Callithrix jacchus: one gene and its partners. The protein of the gene in region 2 interacts with the protein of the main gene of each other region in a pairwise test. Links are inferred from orthologs where the notes say so. Each region holds a gene or a part of one and is shown on either strand. Other genes may lie near its edges.

The links.
Region 1: the proteins of BCL2L13 (region 2) and PLN interact in binary tests that used the Homo sapiens proteins (3 or more experiments, as listed by UniProt). The two-hybrid records come from large-scale screens. The link is inferred for Callithrix jacchus from reciprocal best matches to the Homo sapiens genes BCL2L13 and PLN.
Region 3: the proteins of BCL2L13 (region 2) and GABARAPL2 interact in binary tests that used the Homo sapiens proteins (3 or more experiments, as listed by UniProt). The two-hybrid records come from large-scale screens. The link is inferred for Callithrix jacchus from reciprocal best matches to the Homo sapiens genes BCL2L13 and GABARAPL2.
Region 4: the proteins of BCL2L13 (region 2) and TMEM86B interact in binary tests that used the Homo sapiens proteins (3 or more experiments, as listed by UniProt). The two-hybrid records come from large-scale screens. The link is inferred for Callithrix jacchus from reciprocal best matches to the Homo sapiens genes BCL2L13 and TMEM86B.
Region 5: the proteins of BCL2L13 (region 2) and PLP1 interact in binary tests that used the Homo sapiens proteins (3 or more experiments, as listed by UniProt). The two-hybrid records come from large-scale screens. The link is inferred for Callithrix jacchus from reciprocal best matches to the Homo sapiens genes BCL2L13 and PLP1.

The regions. Positions count from the first base shown.
Region 1 is NC_133505.1:124,886,084-124,889,266, reverse strand, and holds the end of PLN (phospholamban), read right to left. Parts: intron 2,196-3,183; 5' UTR 2,101-2,195; coding exon 1,942-2,100; 3' UTR 594-1,941; downstream 1-593. UniProt on the Homo sapiens protein: Reversibly inhibits the activity of ATP2A2/SERCA2 in cardiac sarcoplasmic reticulum by decreasing the apparent affinity of the ATPase for Ca(2+).
Region 2 is NC_133502.1:212,820,410-212,824,266, forward strand, and holds part of BCL2L13 (bcl-2-like protein 13), read left to right. Parts: intron 1-802; coding exon 803-946; intron 947-3,857. UniProt on the Homo sapiens protein: May promote the activation of caspase-3 and apoptosis.
Region 3 is NC_133521.1:32,970,957-32,975,354, reverse strand, and holds the start of GABARAPL2 (gamma-aminobutyric acid receptor-associated protein-like 2), read right to left. Parts: upstream 2,908-4,398; 5' UTR 2,799-2,907; coding exon 2,765-2,798; intron 2,437-2,764; coding exon 2,381-2,436; intron 1,264-2,380; coding exon 1,091-1,263; intron 1-1,090. UniProt on the Homo sapiens protein: Ubiquitin-like modifier involved in intra-Golgi traffic. Modulates intra-Golgi transport through coupling between NSF activity and SNAREs activation. It first stimulates the ATPase activity of NSF which in turn stimulates the association with GOSR1.
Region 4 is NC_133523.1:48,094,528-48,098,701, reverse strand, and holds TMEM86B (lysoplasmalogenase TMEM86B), read left to right. Parts: upstream 1-1,421; 5' UTR 1,422-1,453; coding exon 1,454-1,504; intron 1,505-1,756; coding exon 1,757-2,003; intron 2,004-2,629; coding exon 2,630-3,012; 3' UTR 3,013-3,558; downstream 3,559-4,174. UniProt on the Homo sapiens protein: Catalyzes the hydrolysis of the vinyl ether bond of choline or ethanolamine lysoplasmalogens, forming fatty aldehyde and glycerophosphocholine or glycerophosphoethanolamine, respectively and is specific for the sn-2-deacylated (lyso) form of plasmalogen.
Region 5 is NC_133524.1:99,825,272-99,829,742, reverse strand, and holds the start of PLP1 (myelin proteolipid protein), read right to left. Parts: upstream 2,935-4,471; 5' UTR 2,813-2,934; coding exon 2,809-2,812; intron 1-2,808.

The DNA of each region.
Region 1 (3,183 bases), on a different chromosome or scaffold from region 2:
GCAGCACTTGTATAAGAAACTAAGATCAATATTGATGCTTCATATTCTTTTAGTAACCATGTTTTAGAGGATATGGTTAATTACATATCCTCTGCCCTTTTAATAATAGTTATATTAGTAACCTGTCTTCAGTTGGAATTAAAATTGTTGAATTATACAGTTTAGACTAAATTTTAAACTTTAGTCACCTTAAATTACCAAATTTTGGTGAATATATTTGCCAGCACTAAATTTTACTTCAGTTGTTTTGTGAGTTATTGGAAGATGTTCTGAAATGATCAGAGGAGAAATTGAAAATTTATTCATCAAGAAAATAGTTATAGATAGCATTGTTAGACCTATAATTTAGCTTAGTAGAGTGGCCTACAAAATAGATGTTTACCATTTAATTGATAGATTAAGGAAAATAGCTATATCCTATTATAGTTGATGCTAGAATGACAAGAACTTTAACTGAGACGGTCCACTTATACATGAATTTTCTTTTCCCCCACTCCCCACACCCCTAAGACAAGAGTGCAAGACCAATCCCTTCTCTTCCTTCCCATCTTTCTCCTCCGCCTATTCAATGTGAAGACAATGAGAATGAAGACTTTTATGTTGACCCACTTCCATTTAATGAATAGTAAATATATTTTCTCTTTCTTATGATTTTCTAAATAAGATTTTTTTCTCTAGCTTACTTTATTGTAGGAATAGAGTATATAATACACATAACATGCAAAATATGTGTTAATTTACGGTTTATGTTATTAGTAAGGTTTATGGTCAATAGTGGGCTATTAGTAGTTAAGATTTTTGGGGACCCACGGATTGTCAACCCCCATATTCAAGGGTCAGCTGTAGATATAATAGTTGGACCAACAAGTTCATTTCAAAATGTAATCTAAAAATTAGTTAATATTTGGAGAGAAAATTCATATTTTTATTTTTTTAAATACTTGAGATAACCTTTTTCTGTCACTGGAAATCTTTTATTATTTTCTTTGCCTGCATTGGATGTTAGGATTGAATAGAAAACAAACTGTAAAATAATTCTGAAGTCTTACGGTTTCATGATTCCATAGACATGGCAAGTTAGGTAACTCCAGCTCAGGTAACTCACTACAGTGCCTTAAAGGAAGATTAGATTCTATTCTGTTAGTACATTAGTGATTATGACTAATCACACTGTCAGATGTTAACCACCAATTCTCGTCTGTTGATCATAATATCTTAGAGCAGATTTATGGTTTACTTACATGGACTAGAATTCTGTAATTCTTTGAAAAAATTACTTAAGAGGAATTTTATTATGTAAGAGTATGGCCTTACTTTGCCATACTTGATTCTCATCAACTTTAAAAAATGTTAATGTGGCATAGAAAAAATACAATTTCTGTTTTAGAATATAGATAGATACTGGTAGTTACTACAAAGAGTTTTTTATAATAAGATAGCAGATATAAGGAGTTAGTGGACCATTTTGAATAATGACACTGCATTTGTATTATTACGTTGATACTTGGTGAAGACCTGAAAAATACTTAATACTAAAGAAACTTTTACAGTGTAATATAAATTATATTTACCTCAAAAGAGTAAAAATAATGCTTTACATATGAAGTGAACTTGTTGGCAGTGCAGTTTCAGAACTATTATTTTATCTTCAGAAAAGATTTGGGATAGAAATTTGTGAGCCATGTTGAGGAAATCAACAGGTAAATTTTATATACCTTTTAAAAGATTATTTTGTGAAAATAAAGCCCTTTTCATGTTTACAAGATCCAGCAGATGAATACATGTGCTACTAATGAGTTTTAGTCTTAATCTTGACCTTTTCACAAAGAAACTCTTCTACTCAGGAAGTGGTATGTTACACAGTATTGTTTTCCGTCTGCATGGGATGACAAATTTTAAGCTGATGTGGTAAGTTGCAGCTCTAGAGGTTGTAGCAGAACTTCAGAGAAGCATCACGATGATACAGATCAGCAAGAGACATATTAAGATGAGACAGAAATTGATAAATAGGTTCTGTAGATTTTGACGTGCTTGTTGAGGCATTTCAATGGTTGAGGCTCTTCTTATAGCTGAGCGAGTGAGGTATTGGACTTTCTCCATGACACCAACAGGAGAGGAAGTCTGAAGTTTTAAGCGGTCAAGAGAAAGAAAAAGCTGGCAGCCAAATATGAGATAACTGTCTTCTTTTAGGTAGCCTTGAATGTAAAAATAATAAATGGATTAGAATCATATATGTAACCTATTCTCAGAACAAAAAATACAATTTTTCATTAATTCATCTTTCTCAGCACTGTTGTATTTATAACATCAAATGTTTCTGGTGCTTGTGCATGTACGTGTGTGTGTGTGTATGTATGTGTGTGAGAGCACGCACGTGCGTGTGTTCCTTTGTATCTGTCTTTCTCTCCTTTTTTGATGGGGCGCACCATGACAGTCTCATTTGTGTTAGTAGTAGTAACTTCATTCTTTGCCTTTTCTGCCAGATTTACTAGAAGTATTGCAGTAATCCTCAGTGTCATCCATAGGTTCCTGAAAACCATGACTTTATGCAAAACAACTATAATGAAACCATTTTTACTCTAGGCTGATTGATGTAAACAAGAGTTAAGTTCCTATGGCATATTTCTGGTCAAAAAAACATCACCAAACTTCTCAATAAAGACCCCGAACACTTCTAATATTAAATGTTGAAAGAAATATGAACTATATATACATTTAAGAAAGATTAATAAAAACCAGATAGGCCAGATGCAGTGGCTCACACCTGTAATCCCAGCATTTTGGAATGCCAAGGTGGGCAGATCGCTGAAGGCAGGAGTTTGAGACCAGCCTTGCCAACATGATGAAACCCTGTCTCTACTGAAAATACAAAAATTATCCAGGCTGGTGGCATTCACCTGTAATCCTAGCTACTCGGGAGGATTGCTGGAGGCTGGGAGGCAGAGGTTGCCATGAGCCCAGATTGTACCACTGTACAATTGCCTGGGTGACAGAGCAAAACTCTGTCTCCAAAAGAAAAAAAAAGCCACCAAAGATAATTACCCAGTATTTGGTGAATCAGTGAATGACAGTGGTTGTGGTGGTTGAATAAAATAATGGAATCAATGATTGAGAAATGAAAATTGTCAGGAGCACTTCCAACTCCATGCAGATCAAAACCAATTCAAATACAGTGAAATCTCT
Region 2 (3,857 bases):
TGGAGACCAGCCTGACGAACGTAGTAAAACCCCATCCCTACTAAAAATACGAAAAATCAGCTGGGCCTGGTGGTGGGTGCCTGTAATCTCAGCCACTCGAAAGGCTGAGGCAGGAGAATGGCTTGAACCTAGGAGGCAGAGGTTGTAGGCAGCCAAAATTGCGCCACTGCATTCCAGCCTGGGTGACAATGTGAGACTCCATCTAAAAAAAGAAATTAAAAAAACAATGCTTTAGGCTGGGCATGGTGACACCCGCCTATAATCCGAGCACTTTGGGAGGCCAAGTCGGGTAGATAATTTCAGGCCAGGAGTTTGAGACCAGCCTGGCCAACATGGTGAAACCCATCTCTACTAAAAATACAAAAATTACCCAGGCATCATGGCGCATACCTGTCATCCCAGCTACTCAGGAGGCTGAGCAGAGAATCACTTGAACCTGGGAGGCGGAGGCGGCAGTGAGCTGAGATTATGCCATTGCACTCCAGCCTGGGTGAAAGAGTGAGACTCCATCTCAAAAAAATAATAATAATAATAATTAGTAATGCATTAGTGAATTTCCTTCTATATTTCTCACACACATACCTAATTATTTTCAATAACTATTTCTACCTTCCTATTGTATAAAACCTACATGCACTATTCAGCAAAATCATAATAGAAGTTACTGTTTTATTTCTTTTATATAATGAAAATAAAATGTCATAATGATGTATCTAAGTATAATTTTCTAGTAGTTGAACATATAAAACATATTATAAGAATTTCGGTATTTTTTTTAAATTCTCTCATCTTTGCATTGAAGATTTTGGTGCCTCTGGTTTTGCTGCGACAAATGCTTTTGGAGTTGACAAGGCGTGGTCAAGAATCTTTGAGTGCACTGCTGAAGTTTGGCGTGACGTATCTGGAAGACTATTCGGCAGAGTACATCATTCAGCAAGGTGGCTGGGTATGAGCTGTTATACATTAAAAATATTTTCTTAAAAAAAATTAGGTTCGTCGTTGTTGTTGTTTTTCTTAAGAGATGGACGGGTTCTTGCTGTGTTACCCCAGCTGGAGTAGAGTGTCTAGTTGCAGGCACTGTCATGGCAGGCCTCAGTCTCAAACTTGTGGGCTCAGGTGATCCTGCTTCAGGTCCTGAATAGCCAGGAGTACAGGCTGGGACTATAGGTGCCAACCACTGTGCCGTGTTCTATGCCATACTTTTTGATATGTACTTATTATTTTTGTACAGTTATTTTAAAATTTGCCTTGTATATTCTTTAATACCTGAATTACTTAGAAATATATTTTTAAATTTCCAAATATTTACAAGTTTTAAAATTATGTTTTCAATTACTAATTTAATTCTGTTTCATCAGAAAGCACGGCCATCATGGCATTGAAACTTGAGTTATGACTTACTATCATGATCAGTCAGAAAATATATATTATATAGGGCTGGGCCCAGTGGTGCACACCTGTAATCCCAGTGCTTTGGGAGGCTGAGGCAGGTGGATCACCTGAGGTCAGGAGACCAGTCTGATCAACAGGATGAAATCCCATCTCTACTAAAAAATACAAAAAATTAGCTGGGCCTGTTGGCATGTGCCTGCAATCCCAGCTACTTGGGAGGCTGAGGCAGGAGAATCACTGGAACCCAGGAGGCAGAAGTTGTAGTGAGCTGAGATTGCACCACTGCACTCCAGTCTGGTCAACAGAGCAGCAGCAACAACAACAAATATATATTTTTGTTATATATATTATATAATATATACAATATGAAATATACTATAATATATATAACATATGCATTATATATTGTATTTTATATTTATATTTTATATTTTATGTATATAATATATATAACATTTTATATATAATATTTTATGTGTGTTTCAGGAGAATGTATATTCTTTAATTGTTGGTGTAGGTCTATACATGTCCATTCACATTTAAATATTATGTGGTTTAAATCTTTCAGTCATTTCCAGTTTTTTTGTCTAATTATTTACTAAGAGAGGCATGTTCAGATTTGTCAGGATGGTAGTAGATTTTCCATTTTCCCTTTAGTTCTGTCAGTTGTAGATGACTAAAAGTTATAATTGTCAACCCTTGGTGAATTGAACGTTTTGTTTTTATAGTTATGGTCTTCGTCTCTAAAACTGTGGTTTTTTTTTTTTGTCCTAAAGTCTGTTATTTTTTTCTTTTTGAACCAGCCAACCCCAAATGTCAAATATCCCTTTGATATTGAAGGATGTCTTTAATTTCTCTCAGTAGTACTTGGTAGTTTTTAATGTAGAGGTATTACGCAATATGGGCTTCTTTCCACATCATACTTAAAAATGTACTGTTTCCTTCCTTTTTCTTTGAGACAGAGTCTCAGTCTGTTGCCAGGCTGGAGTGCAGTGGTGCAGCCTCGGCTCACCGCAACCTCCGCCTCCCGGGTTCAGGTGATTCTCCTGCCTCAGCCTCCCGAGTAGCTGGGACTACAGGCACACACCACCACACCCAGCTAATTTTTGTACTTTTAGTAGAGATGGGTTTTACCATGTTGCTCAGGATGCTCTCGATCTCTTGACCTCGTGATCCGCCTGCCTTGGCCTCCCAAAGTGCTGGGATTACAGGCATGAGCCACCACGTCTGGTGTCTTTTTTAATTTTTATTTTAAAATATTTATTATTTGGCCAGTCATGGTGACTCATGCCTGTAATCACAGCACTTTGGGAGGCCAAGATGGGTGGACATGAGGTCAAGAGATTGAGACCATCCGGGCCAACATGGTGAAACCTTATCCCTACTAGAATACAAAAATTAGCGGGGTGTGGTGGTGGGCACCTGTAGTCCCAGCTACTCGGGAGGCTGAGGCAGGAGAATTGCTTGAACCTGCGAGGTGTAGGTTGCAGGGAGTCAAGATTGTGCCATTGCACTCCAGCCTGGTGCCTGGCAACAGAGCAAAACTCTGTCTCAAAAAAAAAAAAAAATTATTATTATTATTTTTTTTTTAAATTTTTTATTGGATTTTAGGTTTTGGGGTACATGAGCAGAGCATGCAAGACAGTTGCGTAGGAACACACATGGCAGTGTGCTTTTCTTTCCTTCTCCCCTTCACCCACATTTGGCATTTCTCCCCTGGCTATCCCTCCCCACCTCCCCCTCCCAAAATTATTATTTTTTTAAATAACAAGGGACAGGGTCTTTCTATGTTACCCAGGATGGTCTCAAACTCCTGAGCTCAAGCTGTCTTCCTGCCTTGGCTTCCCAAAGTGCTAGGATTACAGGTGTGAGCCACCATGCCTGGCCATATTTTTTTTTTTATAGTAGCTAAATAGTATGGATGAACCCTATTTTTTTTAAAACGTTCCTAAGGGATTGAAGACGGTTTGAAATCCTTCTGTATTAAAAATTACATTAATGAAAATCCTTTCCAAATAAATGTATATGTTTGAGACCGATTAGAGCTTCTGCTTAGGATTTCATGTTTTTTTCTTACTTAGCTGAACTGAATCTTCCCTTTCTCCCTCCCTCCTTCCCTCCTACTCTTTAATCCCTCCCTCCCTCCTTCTGTTCCTCTCTCCTCTTATTCTTTAAAATGTCAATGCATCCATCCCAGCATTTGTGTCTGCATCTTAGTTTATCTTTTTATTTCAACTTATCTTGTGCCAGGCAGTCACTCATCAGTCAGCCATGCATCGAGCGCCTGCTACATGCTGTGCCCTGTTCTAGGTTCTGAGTAGACAGCTGTCAGCAGAGCGTTTCCTTGACCCAAGAGAGATGACGCTCTGAGGGACAGAGACCACAGTGAAGAGATGTCGTACATCAGGTGGTGACATGTGCTGTGAAAACAAGGCAGGGAGACGTACATGATGTGGGGGTGAGAG
Region 3 (4,398 bases), on a different chromosome or scaffold from region 2:
GGGAAGGAGCTTCCATTTCTCCCCTGCCTTTCTACCAGACACCAGGAAGTGGAGGTGGTAGAGACTGGGAAACAGGTAATCAGACCAAAAAATAGCCAGAGCTTTCCACCTTTAACAGAAATAAAGTCTGGAATTTGGCACGGGCCTCTTAGGAAGTCTTCAAGGATTTTCAACAGGAACCTATCTGGGCAACATTGGGCTAGTTCCCAGGGCTTCTGAAAGCCTTCACTTTTAGAAGTATTACTTCTGGGGGTGGTAAATGAAACCTACTTTGGGTCACTAAGGTAAGATGTGGCCAGGAACTCACACTCAGGGGAGAGGTGAGGGCCAGAATCTGGATCAGAGCCTAGAACTACCCACTCAGTAACAGGAAAGGACTGACCAGGAGCTTAGACGGAGCCTGTCCATTTTCCTCATTCCAGAGGGGACTAAAGCTGGGCTGTCAAATACACAGAAAATGGAAATTCTAATGCCCCTGCCTACATTCGGGCTGCAAGTTACACTCCCAAAGACTGCTTCCAGGCAGCACCATAGTCTGACAGTCAAAGCAGGTGCTACCAAGGAAGGTTTAAGTCTGTAAAGAGACTTCAGAGCCCTTTACTGTGCTGCAGTCATTTTGTCAGACTTGAGGATCAGACAGCTATAGACTCTTACAATGGCAGAGAGCTGACGAAGTTTGGGAGCACGCAAACCGCTTGATTAACTGAGTAAGCCTCAGCAGAACCCACAGGTTCCCAGTGGAGGAGAGTGGCCAGACTGTCTTCAGGGAAGAAAACCTCATTTCAGGCATCAGTTCTACCTATGGCTTAAGCCTAAATAAGTCCTCAATGTTTTAAAAGATTCTTGGAGGTCTCAGGCTGAGTTTCATCCCTTTTTTAGAAGTCCAGGCCTTGTTCTATTTTCCGAATCTAAAATGCACCCTTATGTATTGCAGCCGTTATTTTCCTGGAGCCCCTGATGTCAGGGAGCACAAAATCCAGATTTCTAGTCAGAACCCCCAAGAGTTTTCAGACCTCCAAAGTTTTTGAGTTCTCTAAGCAGCCAACCAGATGTCTAACACCAGAGGACCCATCTAGTAAACACCTCTCACCTGGACTGTGGGACTGTCTTATCCACAAACAGGAAGATCGCCTTTTCAGAAGGAAGCTGGATCCTTTTCCTGATGATCCACATGAACTGAGCCACAGTGATATCAGATGGAACCAAGTACTTCCGTTTGTCAATGTCAACAATCTGAGAGCCTGAGACCTTTTCCACAATCACCTGGGAAAATAAAGAGAGGTCAGGACTGGGTTTCTAAAGCCAGGCTCTGGCCTCAAGGCTGAGGAGCTGAGGAACAGAGTGTGGGCAAGGAGGTGGGTGGGAAACTGCATAGCAGGAGAAAATATGTCTTTGGCTTAATAACCACATGCTCTGGAGGTTAAGAATTGATATAAATGGGTTATAGGGAAACGGTAAGTGCTTTTCTGTGGTCAGTTATGTAAGAAAAATGCAGCCCTTACTACTAAGCTTTTCCACATTTTATCTGGGCAGACCTAAGAATATGTGGGGATCCACATCCATAGCCCATTACTCCAGGACCCCAGAATGGATCCCCTTCACACTACAGGAAACACTACTGTGTTCCCAAGGAACACAGGAGACAAGAACAGATGGACTAATGGGAATGCCTGGAATTTCAGCCAGCCAAGAACCAAGCTCTTCATTTGGCCTGTTGCTCTTCTCTGAACAAGTTTCAAATCCGTCCCTCCTTCCCCCAACGGAATTATTCACAAGCAAAGAGCTACAATAACAGGCCTTAATGTCCATTAAAAATTAACAAGAATTACAAAACTATCTCCCCAAACATGGAAAAAATATATTTACTACTGACTAGGAAGAAAGCATAACAGAAAAGGGTTTTCAGCGGCTTCTCACATTGTTTTGGTCAGGCAGGGATGACAGGGTCAAGGTGAGGCAACGGAGCCAGAATTTGGGTAAAGATGGAGGCTCCAAGTAAAAGGTGAAGGTCCTGAGACTCAAGTACCACTTCCAAGACCAAAGTGACAGTCTCCCTCCACCACCGTTCCCAAAAGTGGCAGTGACCTGTTGCCCTGTCCTAGAACATCGTTCCTTACATAATTGGCCAGGGAGCCCCGAGGCTGCAGACAGCTCTCGCTGGCCTAGATCCGGAGATTCAGCACTGAGGCACCCTGAACAGCACCAGCCCGAGCCCCTCACGCCCCGGCCCTGGGCGGCCTCATCGCAGTCTGGCCCGTCCTCTACTACAACTGGGAATGGAACCTCAACTTGTCAACTGTTGAATGGCCTAGGGCCTATCACGGCTCCCAGATGACAGAGGTGACAGCGAGGTGAGGGGGCGGAGAGTCCAATCACTCACCGGAACCCGGTCAGGATATTTCGCTCGGATCTTCGCGGACTCCACGCATCTGTGTTCTGTGGCAGAAACAAACAGGGCTGACGGCCGCGCCTGCCCACAGGTCGGTTCCGGGCCCTCGGCCCTCCTCCTCCTGCGCCTTGCGCACAGCCCAGGCCCTCGTTCCGGCGTCCCCACGGCCGCGGTCCTGTCCCCTAGCTCCCAGGGGGGTCCGCGGAGAGTGACGCGGGGTCGAGGGACGGCTGCTCGTGGCACCGGAGCCTTGGCGGCTCGAGCCCGGAGCGCGGCATACGTCCTGCTTCACCCGGCCCAGGGCCGCCCGAGTGGGGGAGGGGGCCCACCTGCCGCCGCGGCCCCCCGCGGCCGGTCCGATGGCCAAGTGCTTACCCAAAGAGTGGTCCTCCTTGAACATCCACTTCATGGCGGCGGCGGGGAGGGGATGGAACCGGCTCTCGGAGCCGTGGAACTCGGCGTACCGACCACAACAACAACGGCGGCGGCGGTAGCAGCGACGGAGGCGACTACACGGCAGGCGGGACTTCCGGCTGCTGGAGCCTAGCAACCGGTCAGGGGCGGGGCTTCCGGCGCCACTGGCCAGGAAGCTATGCCAAGGGGCGGGGCCGCACGTAGTCACGGAGGGCTCCTTCTGGGGGCTACTAGGCTGCGGAGGCGGTGAAGTTGGTTACGGGGGCGTCTGTGAGCAATATCGGCGACCCCAGGAAGAAATGTTCGGGGAACTGGTGACAGGAGTGGGGTCTCGGGAGTGTTTGTGGCGGGAAGCGTCTGGCTGATAGTGTATGGCTCTGAGGGCTCTTTGGGGGTGTGGCTGATAGTTGAGGGCTCTTAGAGCGTTTATAGGGGAGGTCTGAATAGGGAATTGGTGACAAGAACGGTCTTTGGGAGTAAGAATGACTTAAGGGGAGTCTCTAGTGCTTGGCGATGACAAGGGAGCTGTTTTGGGCGTTGACAGTTTGGGGGTTATTGCTCGGAGTGGTGACAGGGTGGGGGCACAGTATGGGAGGGGTGGTGTTTGAGGACACTGTGTAGGAAGCAGCACTGAGGACAACCTGGACGTCCAGTATTAGGGACAGCGGTAATAGGTTGCCTTGGACCTAGAAATTGAATTTAAACAAATCCCATTTTCTTCCCTTATTCGTGAATCTATTTGAATAAACATTTACGAAATGCACATTCGAGGTAGGACGTGGTGGCTCCCGCCAGTAATCCCAACACTTTGGGAAGCCGAGGCAGGAGGATCCCCTGAGGTCAGGAGTTCGAGACCAGACTGGCCAACAGGGTAAAACCCCATTTCTACTAAAAATACAAAAATTAGCCAGGCATGGTGGCACACACCTGTAGTCCCACCTCCTTGGGAGGCTGTGGCTGGAGAATCGTTTGAACCCGGGAAGCGGAGGTTGCAGTGAGCCAAGATGGCCTGGGTGGGAACAAGACTCTGTCTCAAAAACAAACAGACAAACAAATGCACATTTGAAGAGTATAACATAACTGATCACAGACCCTTTAACCTTAACTGGCAGAGGAGTTAGAGGTGACAGTCAGGCTTGGAGAATTCCCCTGAGAGCTGGTCATGAGATGGGTTTCCTTGTTTGGCTGTGGGAGTGGTTTAGCAGTCACAGCCCAAGCTGTGTGTGTCACCTGCCCAGACATATGCCTTGAGGTTCTCCAGCCAGTGATGTAATGCCTTTCTTCCAAGCAGAGTCATCAAGGCAGTCTGGTCTAGGTCACCATCTGTTTATAAGCTGCTGAGCACGTAGCAAGAATATTCACTTAATTTGGGCACATGAACCCTGCCACATGCTTGTGATTCTGATGCACCTGTAAAGCCTGTATGTTTGAACATGCTAGTTCATCATTTCCTACACTGGAAATTCCCAATTGATGCTGTGGAATCTAGCTTCATTCTAAAAGTATTTTTGTTATTTTAAGACTGTGTGTCTGACCAATCAGAATAGGTTTTATGTTTGTTTGTTCCTTTGTCTTCGTTTTTGTTTTTTGAGGCA
Region 4 (4,174 bases), on a different chromosome or scaffold from region 2:
CAGCTTCCCGTCCTGTCCCAGTGGGGGCTGGTGGTAGGGGTCCAAGGTTGCCGCCCACGTGCCCAGCCATCCTACGCTCAGGCACAGATGGCCATGCCCACACCCGGCCTTTCAGCTCAGGTCCACCATGAGGGACAGCCCAAGTGAGGGTGGGGGTGCCAGAGGGTCCCGCGTGGGGGCCGTGCCTTTGCCCAGACCCTGCACTTTCAACCAGGCCAGCCCGGCTCTGGGGAGCAGGGGCCTCCCCGGCAACACCCCCAGGGTCCCTGAGGGTCTGGGGTCCCAGCCCTGTTGCCAAGTGGCCTTGTCCAAGCTCCTTCCTCCCAGGCTGGTGTGAGTGTGTGTGCGTTCGTGCCGAGCTTCTATTTCATATTGCAAATATAAATAAAGGAAGACAGTTTACGATTCTGCTGGTCAGACCGTACATTCTGGGATGCGGGGAGGGCAGCCTGTGTTATCCCTGTACCCCAGCGGTTGGGGTACTCCTAACCCAGTCTGCCCCCACACTGTGTCCTGCCAGAGGGAGCCCTGTGGCTACAGAGGCCACAGGCTGGGCCAGGCACTGGCTGTGATGGCTCCTGCCAGGCCTACCCCACCTGTGGGCAGGGCCGAGGGTGGAGGATGGAAGCTGCCATCGGGGGCTCAAATCCCTGCTCCTACCCCCCTTTGGTAACCAAGCCCAGCATTGAGGCCGGGCAGTGGTGCCCAGTATGTCTGAGTCTTTGAGCCGGAAGGTAGAAGTGTAGGCCGGTGCACAGCAAGTGGAACAGGGGAGCGGTGCCAGGAAGCCTCTGTCTCGGCTACACCGGACCATGTGGGCCGGGTCATGAGGACAGTGTCCTCACTGCGGTGGCAGCTGGTTTGGAGGTCACCTAGGGCTGGCTCAGCTAGCAGGGGAGGGTGCTTATTCCCTGCATTCTTCGGGCCCCTTCCTTGTGGCCCACTGAGGAAGTGTTTGTGGTGGAGCCCCTGAGGGCCTGGTGGGGTTGAGCAGAATGAGGGAAGGTTTCATGGAGCAGGGAGGGGGTCCGCTAGTCCAGCAAGTGAAGGAGGGACTGGCCTTCCCATCCCCTCAGGAGTGTTCCTGCCAGCCAACCCCCTCCCCCGCTTCCCCATGAAGGGGTGGCTGTTGGAATTCTGCACTCCATCTCTTGTGATTGTCTGGGCCCAGGACAATGGGATGGGCGTTTGGGGACCTCACCCCCCAGCAGACAGGAGGAGCAAGCCATGTCCCAGCAGGCTAGGGCAAGGGACCCCCGATGCCAACAGTGCCTTATCAGCAGGTGCCAGGCAAGGCCATCCCCGGGGTGAGGGCGACATCTCCCTGGGCCCTGTTATCAGTTGCAGAGTCCACAGGACGCTCATTGGGTTAACGTGTAACCATGAGCCCTCCCCTCCACCCCCTGGAGCTACCCACTCCCAGATTAGGTCGCTCTGAGGGTATCAGGCCAGCATGGATGCTGGCAAAGCAGGGTCGACCCTGAAGACTCACTGCTCAGCCCAGGTGAGAGCCTTCAGAGCCATGCCTGGGGCTGGGGGATAGGGCCCAGAACCCTAGCAGCTGGGGGGTCTGGGAGGTGCTGTCCGTGAATTGGCTGGGGTCCTGGGAAGCTGGGTTCTGGCAGCCTGGTACCTGAATGGGTCCAGCCTGGACAGCTGGGGTCCCAGGTGGGGGTGGGACAGGAGCCAGGAGATCTGAGTCCTAAGAACGGGGGCTGGGCTGGGCTTCAGCTCAGCAGCTCCCTGCTTCCCAAAGTGCCTAGATGTCTGCAAGTGGCTGATTCCCTTCATCCTCTCCTGCTGCGTGTACTTCTGCCTCTGGATTCCCGAGGACCAGCCGTCCTGGGTCGCTGCCCTGGTCAAGTGCCTGCCCATCTTCTGCCTGGCTGGGTTCCTGTGGGTTGTGTCCCCAGGCGGGAGCTACACTCGGCTCCTCCAGGGAGCCCTCCTGTGCTCGGCTGTGGGGGACGCCTGCCTCATCTGGCCTGAAGCCTTCCTCCATGGTGAGTAGAAGCTGCCATGACGCCTTTCAGATGCCCGTGTCGGGGAGGCCCAGCACTTGGATGGGAGCCTGGAGTGCAGAGGGCTCCAGTGGGCGTTTTGATGGGAGTTCTGGTGGTCAGAGGCGTTGGAGGCACAGCCGTGAGCCAGGCAGCTCACGTTCCAGTGAGGGCTGGTGGGCAGGTGGTGGTAAGGCAGTAGCTGGGAGTGGCGTGGAGGACAGTGAGGACCCTGGGCTGGAGGTGCTGCAGTTTGAAGCAGGGTTGCTGAGGAAGGCTTCACTGAGGAAGTCACATTTTGGCAGACCTGAAGAAGGTGCCATGTGCCTGTGAGGGCGAAGGGCAAGTGCAGAGGCTCCAGGGCAGGGGCATGCCAGCTTGTGGCCAAACAGGCCAGGGTGGCTGGTGGGCCGGAGGGCACGGGGCTTTGGAGGCCAAGGGAAGATGGGACCTGCCGGCAGTTCAGAGCAAAGCAAGTACATGACACTGCATTTGGGGAGGCCTGCAAGGAGGCTCAGCCAGGGTTGGGGCTGGTGCTTTGGGCCGATCCTTCCCCTTAGGTCCTGAGGGGTGACCTCGGGGCGATACCAGAATGAGCCTTCCTTACTGGCACCCACCCCTCTCCCCAGGTGTAGCTGCCTTCGCTACAGCCCACCTCCTCTACCTCTGGGCCTTTGGCCTCTCTCCCCCGAAGCCGGGTCTGCTACTGCTCATCTTCCTGGCCTCTGGCCCCTACCTCATCCTCATGCTGCTGCACCTTGAGCTGGATATGGTCCTGCCCGTGGCAGCCTACGGGCTGATCCTGATGGCCATGCTGTGGCGTGGCCTGGTCTGGGGCGGGAGTGCCGGCTGGGGCGCGCTGCTCTTCACACTCTCTGATGGTGTGCTGGCCTGGGACGCCTTCGCCCAGCCCCTGCCTCACGCTCGCCTGGCGATCATGACCACCTACTACGCTGCCCAGCTCCTCATCACACTGTCGGCCCCCAGGAGCCCGGGGCCCAAGACGGACTGACTAGGCAGCTTGAAGGGCGAGCTTCCAGGCCCTCTCCTCCCGCAAGGACTCGGGCCTCCCAGACCAGCCCAGCCTGAGAAGTACCCTCCACAGCAAAGCTTCCTCACGCCTGTCTGCAGGCGCAGGCCCCGCCGCCGCTGCTCCCGGCTGAAGATGTTTAAGGACCATTCACGGAATTCCGAGTCCACTGTGGGGTTCCAGCTGCCTTCCCCCAGTTCTGACTCCAGATCCCCGGCTCCTCAGCCAGGCCCACATGCGGCCCTCCCAGCCACCAGCCCGCCTCCGAGTTCGCTGTGGGCCCCACGGTCCGCCGGCCCCTCCTGGCTGCTCTGAGTCGGTTTCGTTGTCTAAGTACAGGGCGTGGAAGTGTAGGTGCTGCTGTCACTGTGGGAGAGGCATGTGGAGGGTGACTGTGGCGATGAACCATCTTGGATCATGGCAGCGGACGTCTCGGTCACTCCCCATGAGCCAGGCCTGGTGCCCAGTGGGACCCTCCGTGGCTCTCTAGTGGGGGGCATTTGAAGGGATAAAGGTGAGGATTGTGCAGAACTGAGCCAAGAGCACTGCTGAGCCTCTGCATTTGTTTCCTGGGGTTGCCGTCACAAATTACCCCAAACCAGGTGCTTTGAAATGAGGAATGGGCTCTCCTGCAGCTCTGGAGACCCAAAGTCCAAGATCAGGGTGTTTTCCGGCCCTTGCTCTCTCCTGAGGCTCTGGGGAAGAATCCGTCCTTGCCCTCTTAGCTTCCGGAGGCTCCCAGGAATCACTGGCTTCTCTTGGCATGTGGCGGCTGTGTCTCTCCCATCTTTATGTGATTGTCTTCAAGCCCACCCTAAACCCAGGTGATTCTATCTCGAGATGCTTAACTATGTCTGCAGAGACCCTGTTTCTAAGTACTGTCACCTGTATAGGCACCTGGGCTTAGGACTCAGACATATCTGCTTAGGGGACACAACCCACTACAGTCACATGCAGTATCAGGGGACAAGGGTAGGGGCCTTGGAGGAGGGGAGGGTGACAAGGGGGAGGAATCAAATAGGAAAGAGGAACGGAGGTGTGTTCCTTGCCTTGGCTCTGTGACCTTGGCAAGTTGCTGTCCCTCTCTGGTGTTTAGATTCTGCATCTGAGGACGTGACAGGGTCCAAGATGCTCTCCAAGACCC
Region 5 (4,471 bases), on a different chromosome or scaffold from region 2:
GTTACTGGCTGGAGTTCTACTTTAATGGGTTTGGAGACTATATTTCCCCTCCCACCCACCTCCCAGGGTTGAGGGTGTTATTACTCAGATCACTCTGAGAGAGCAGTTCTAGTTGTCAGGGTGTTAAGTACATTTCTGGCTTTCCTAGCTCAGAGCCAAGGCAAAGACCCCCTAAAGCAGGGTATACCTTTCAATCTGCCTGGCTCTCCAAGAGCTCCTCTGGCTCTGCACAGCCAGAGAGAGAAGTCAGGTGGGGAAGGCTGCACTTGATTATGTTAGTCAGCGTCTCCAGGAAGACTAGTGAACATGAATATGAACATGGTGGTTTGGATCTGGTTTATTTTTGGATCCTGGCATTCTTGGTGCATTTGTGCCATTTTGATGGGATTCAGTTATTCTTCGGGCATTGTATAAAACTGGACCCCCGCTCTGCTGCTACACTTTTTGCCTGGGCTCCACCCACTTACTCCAAGCCAGCCAAAACTATACTGCTTGGCAAACAGCCACTTTTGGATGAAGGCATCACAGTCTGGTTACCAGGGTAACAGCCACTGTTCTCAGACGACAACAGGCTTACAGACAATGTTTTGCTGTTCAATAATGGCATTGTGTTACTGAGCAGAGAATAATCAGTTACTGCTCTTTGGCTCCTTTCCGGTTCCATCGTTATCCCAAAGACTTACTTGGAACATTCCCCTTTCAATCAAGGCAAAATTTAATAAGCTATCATTTTCCCCATAAACCTTTTGTGCAGACACTACTGAAGTGTTCCTCGTTGCTTCCAATCCTAAGGGATTCTATATGGTTGAGGTAGTAAGTTCCCTGTTTCTGGAGGTGATTAAGCAGAGGCTATACAAACGTTTAATTAGTTGTTGTAAAAATGAATCCCATACTGAAGGTTGGTTCAGACGACTTCTAAAGTTCCTTCCAATCCCAGATTCCAGGATACAATGTGTTTACTGCAATTGTTGAACAGCAGTGCACTCCACTTCAGAAGTAGTGGCAGTCCCGTACCTTGTTAGAGATGGTCTATAATTCAAAGTATTGTAGACACTCTATTACTGAATAAATGGAAACTCAGTGGCTGCTCCATCACATGTACCTGGCCCAAGTATCATCCACCCTTAGGAGCTGGGAACCAATGCGCATCCTCAATGGTGCCCTTATCTGTGGCAATCTTCCTCTGGAGGCAATCACCCAGCCTCCATAACAGGCAACTGTCCCTGTGGTCACCTTATTTGTTCCTACCTTTCCTCAGGGATTTCATCCTCTGAGGAAGTAATATTCAACATCCTTCTTTACTCCCTCTCTGTTTTTAATGCACAACCTAGCCAATCCGCTGGGCTGACATTAGATAAGGTTCTTGATGTTACCCAGGGCAGGAATTGAGTTCCTCCAACATTCACCTCTCACCTGGCCACACTTCATTGGTCAAATGAATCTGATCCAAGCACACAAAGAAAACCCAACCACCCCAGAAAGAGGAAGAGTCAGCCTATGTACACATTATTGTCTAATAGTAGGTATTATCATGATTTACAATTGTTATAGATCTTGCCCATTTTCAAAGACTTCCATATTATTGTTACTTGATTCTTACAACCCTGAAAATAGACAAAGTAGTTATTGCTATCTCCATTTTCCAGATGAGGAAATGGTGATTCAGTGACCTGCCCAAGGTCACGCAGTTCATAAGTAGCAGATCTGGGATTGGAATCTGATTTTTCTGACTCCTTGTCCAGTGCTCTGCCCTCCTATTTTACCTTGCACATGCTTCAAAGTGTTCTCTCAGTATTTCATGATGAAACACCTAAAGGCTGAACCAGATCAATATAATTGCAAATTGATCTCTGTGGATGCTATCTACTCGGTGCTACATTTGATAGGGAATACATGGGACAACTGAGTCTCATTTCATTTAGGATGTGTTTAAGCTGCTCTCTGTTTTGCCAAATGTGAGCAATGTCTACATGACTCTGTGAAGTCCCATAGGGACAAAGACCCTTGTGCTCTGCACACCTTACTCTGAGTAGAAACTAACACCAGAACCTCATAGCTTCTGTCTTTGTTCATGGAACCTAGAAAAGCCCTCAATACTCCACCAACTTAGCAAGAGCCCTAATGTCCCAGCAGCCTCCTTGTCATAGCAGAGAGCCCTCAGGAAAGCTATGTCTGTGATATTTGTTAGAAATAGTCACCCCTGTATGTGCACACACACATATGCACATACACACACACTCCTACCCGTATTTGTTTCCCATGGTCAAGCCATTGAGGACTTTATTTCATTTCCTGAACCTGGCAATGGCCTTCTCAGCCGTGGCCAAGCCTGAGTCCAGCTTGCCCAACCCCCAGCTTCCTACTGATGTCAAACGTAGTTCAAAGATTGCATCAAGCAAGCAATTAGTTTGTACATCTGAGGTCTAGACAGTGCTCAGTGACCTCCAGCAGAACCAGGAGAGCAAGCAGACCCAACCGTTACCAGGGCCTTGGAACCAAGGGAAAAGAGAAGATAGAGGGAAGTGAGGGGGTAGGAGGACACATGACCACATCCATCTGGCTGGGCACTCTCTCCAGAGATGTGTGTGACTCTCCACGTGCTGCTGGAATTCTTTGGTAATAAAGCATCATGCTCAGTACAGCAGAGAAGGAGTTAACCTAACTGAATGTTAAGGAATTTAAAAAGAAAACAAGTGCCAAATCACGACTCATGTAAACCATTGGAACCCCCGAACCCCAAAGTTGGAAATTCTCTTGCGAATTCCTGTGTCTGCTTGAATCTTCAATGCTAAAGTTTTTGAAACTTACCCATGTCTTTGGGACTCTGACTCCAATTGTAGCCGGCTGACTAGTCTGCTTTGTGGCTGACTTTGTTCAGCTGGAAGGATCCTGGTCTCTCCAGTCTCCTTCTTCGGTCTTTTACTTTTTCTCTCTGAGTATCTTTGTCCTCTTCTCTTGCAATGAAAAGGGCTTTCTGATTGACAGCCAACCCCCTTAAAGGGACAGGCTTGCTTTCCTCCTCCTCTCCTCCTCCCCTTCTCCTCCCCTTGTCCCCACCTCCTCAGGGATACTCCCTTTTCTAAGGGCTCCCGTCTTCTCTTTCTGCCTTTCACTACCAATTGTTTCATTGTCTTTGTTTCTCCTTTTCCCTGAGGCTTGCCTGGAATTTCACTTTGCTGCAGAGACATCTGGAAATGTGGATTGAGGGTGGAAATAAAATGAAGAGGTCCTGGAAACTTCCTTGGGTCTAATAGTGTGGGATGTGCAGTACAAGCATGAGAAGCCATCAAGTGGGAGCCCCGAGAGGGGCTCAGAGTCAAAATCCTAGATGTTAGTTCCCAAAGTCCTTCCAAATCTGCCCCAGCTCCCCACCTCACTCCCAGTTGCCCTTGGACCTCTCCACCTTTCCCTTCCCCCAACTTCTTGGAAAATAAGCATTCCTCCCCCTCACCCAGCTCTATGAACACAATAGAGAAGAAAAAACTGTCTTTTAAGATAATTTCCTCCAAATCCATTTCAGTTTCAACTGCATGAAGACAAAATGCAGGCTGTCAATTCGATGAACAGAATGTGATTAGGCTGGGGAAGGCTAGCGTTGTAATAATTTTATAGCTGCAATAATGGAGACCCAAAAGTGGACAAGAAGACCTTTGCAAGTTCGCAGACTATGCTAAAGAAAAGGCCAGAGCTGAAGATGTGGGTGATTTCCAAGGAGGAGAATCAACTTTGAGACAAGTCAAGAACACAATTAGGGAATCAGGTAGTCAACATTCCATCCTGAGAATGTAATGTCTTCATCAGAGAGCTGAAGCCAGGCAGGCGAGAGGCAGGGAGTGGGTTGAAGGGAAGCAGCAGGTGGCAGTGAGGGTGGAGAGGAGAAACGAAATATAGTCCTTGCCACAGAGAAAGAAGCAGTGAGACAAAAATGGCTAAGCAGCAAAAACAGGGAAATACTATATAAAACCTGCCTTAGCAATCAGTTATTTCTAAAGATTGTGAGGTATTTGAATGCCCAATGCTAGATGGGACCAGCCTGGGAGGGTTTTCTAGAACAGGTGAATCTTAAGCAGTGTCTGTCTGGGCTCCTTGTCAGTGTCGTGTCTCCCTTCACAGCTCCCTTGACTTAGAGGCCAGCGTCCTTCCATGGATGGCCTTTAAAAATACTGGCTGGCACATAATAAGAGGGTCACACGTTGGAAGACTCTGGAGAAGGAAGGTATGGTCTCCTGGAATGTTTTCTGTGGTTTTGCTTTGGGAGAGGAGAGAAGAGGAGGGAGATATTGAGCGGAGACTAGTACCATCCTGTTGGGGGAGAGAAGTAAAATTGTGTCTTACAGTTTTCTCTTTGGGCTATGACCTTGGACGTGCTACTGGCTTGGGCTCTGCTGTTAGGAAGTAGGTAGGTCTTCTGCAGATGCCCCTGTGGGCCCACCGGAGGCCAAATCCTGCACCGTTTGAGGCTTGCTTCGCG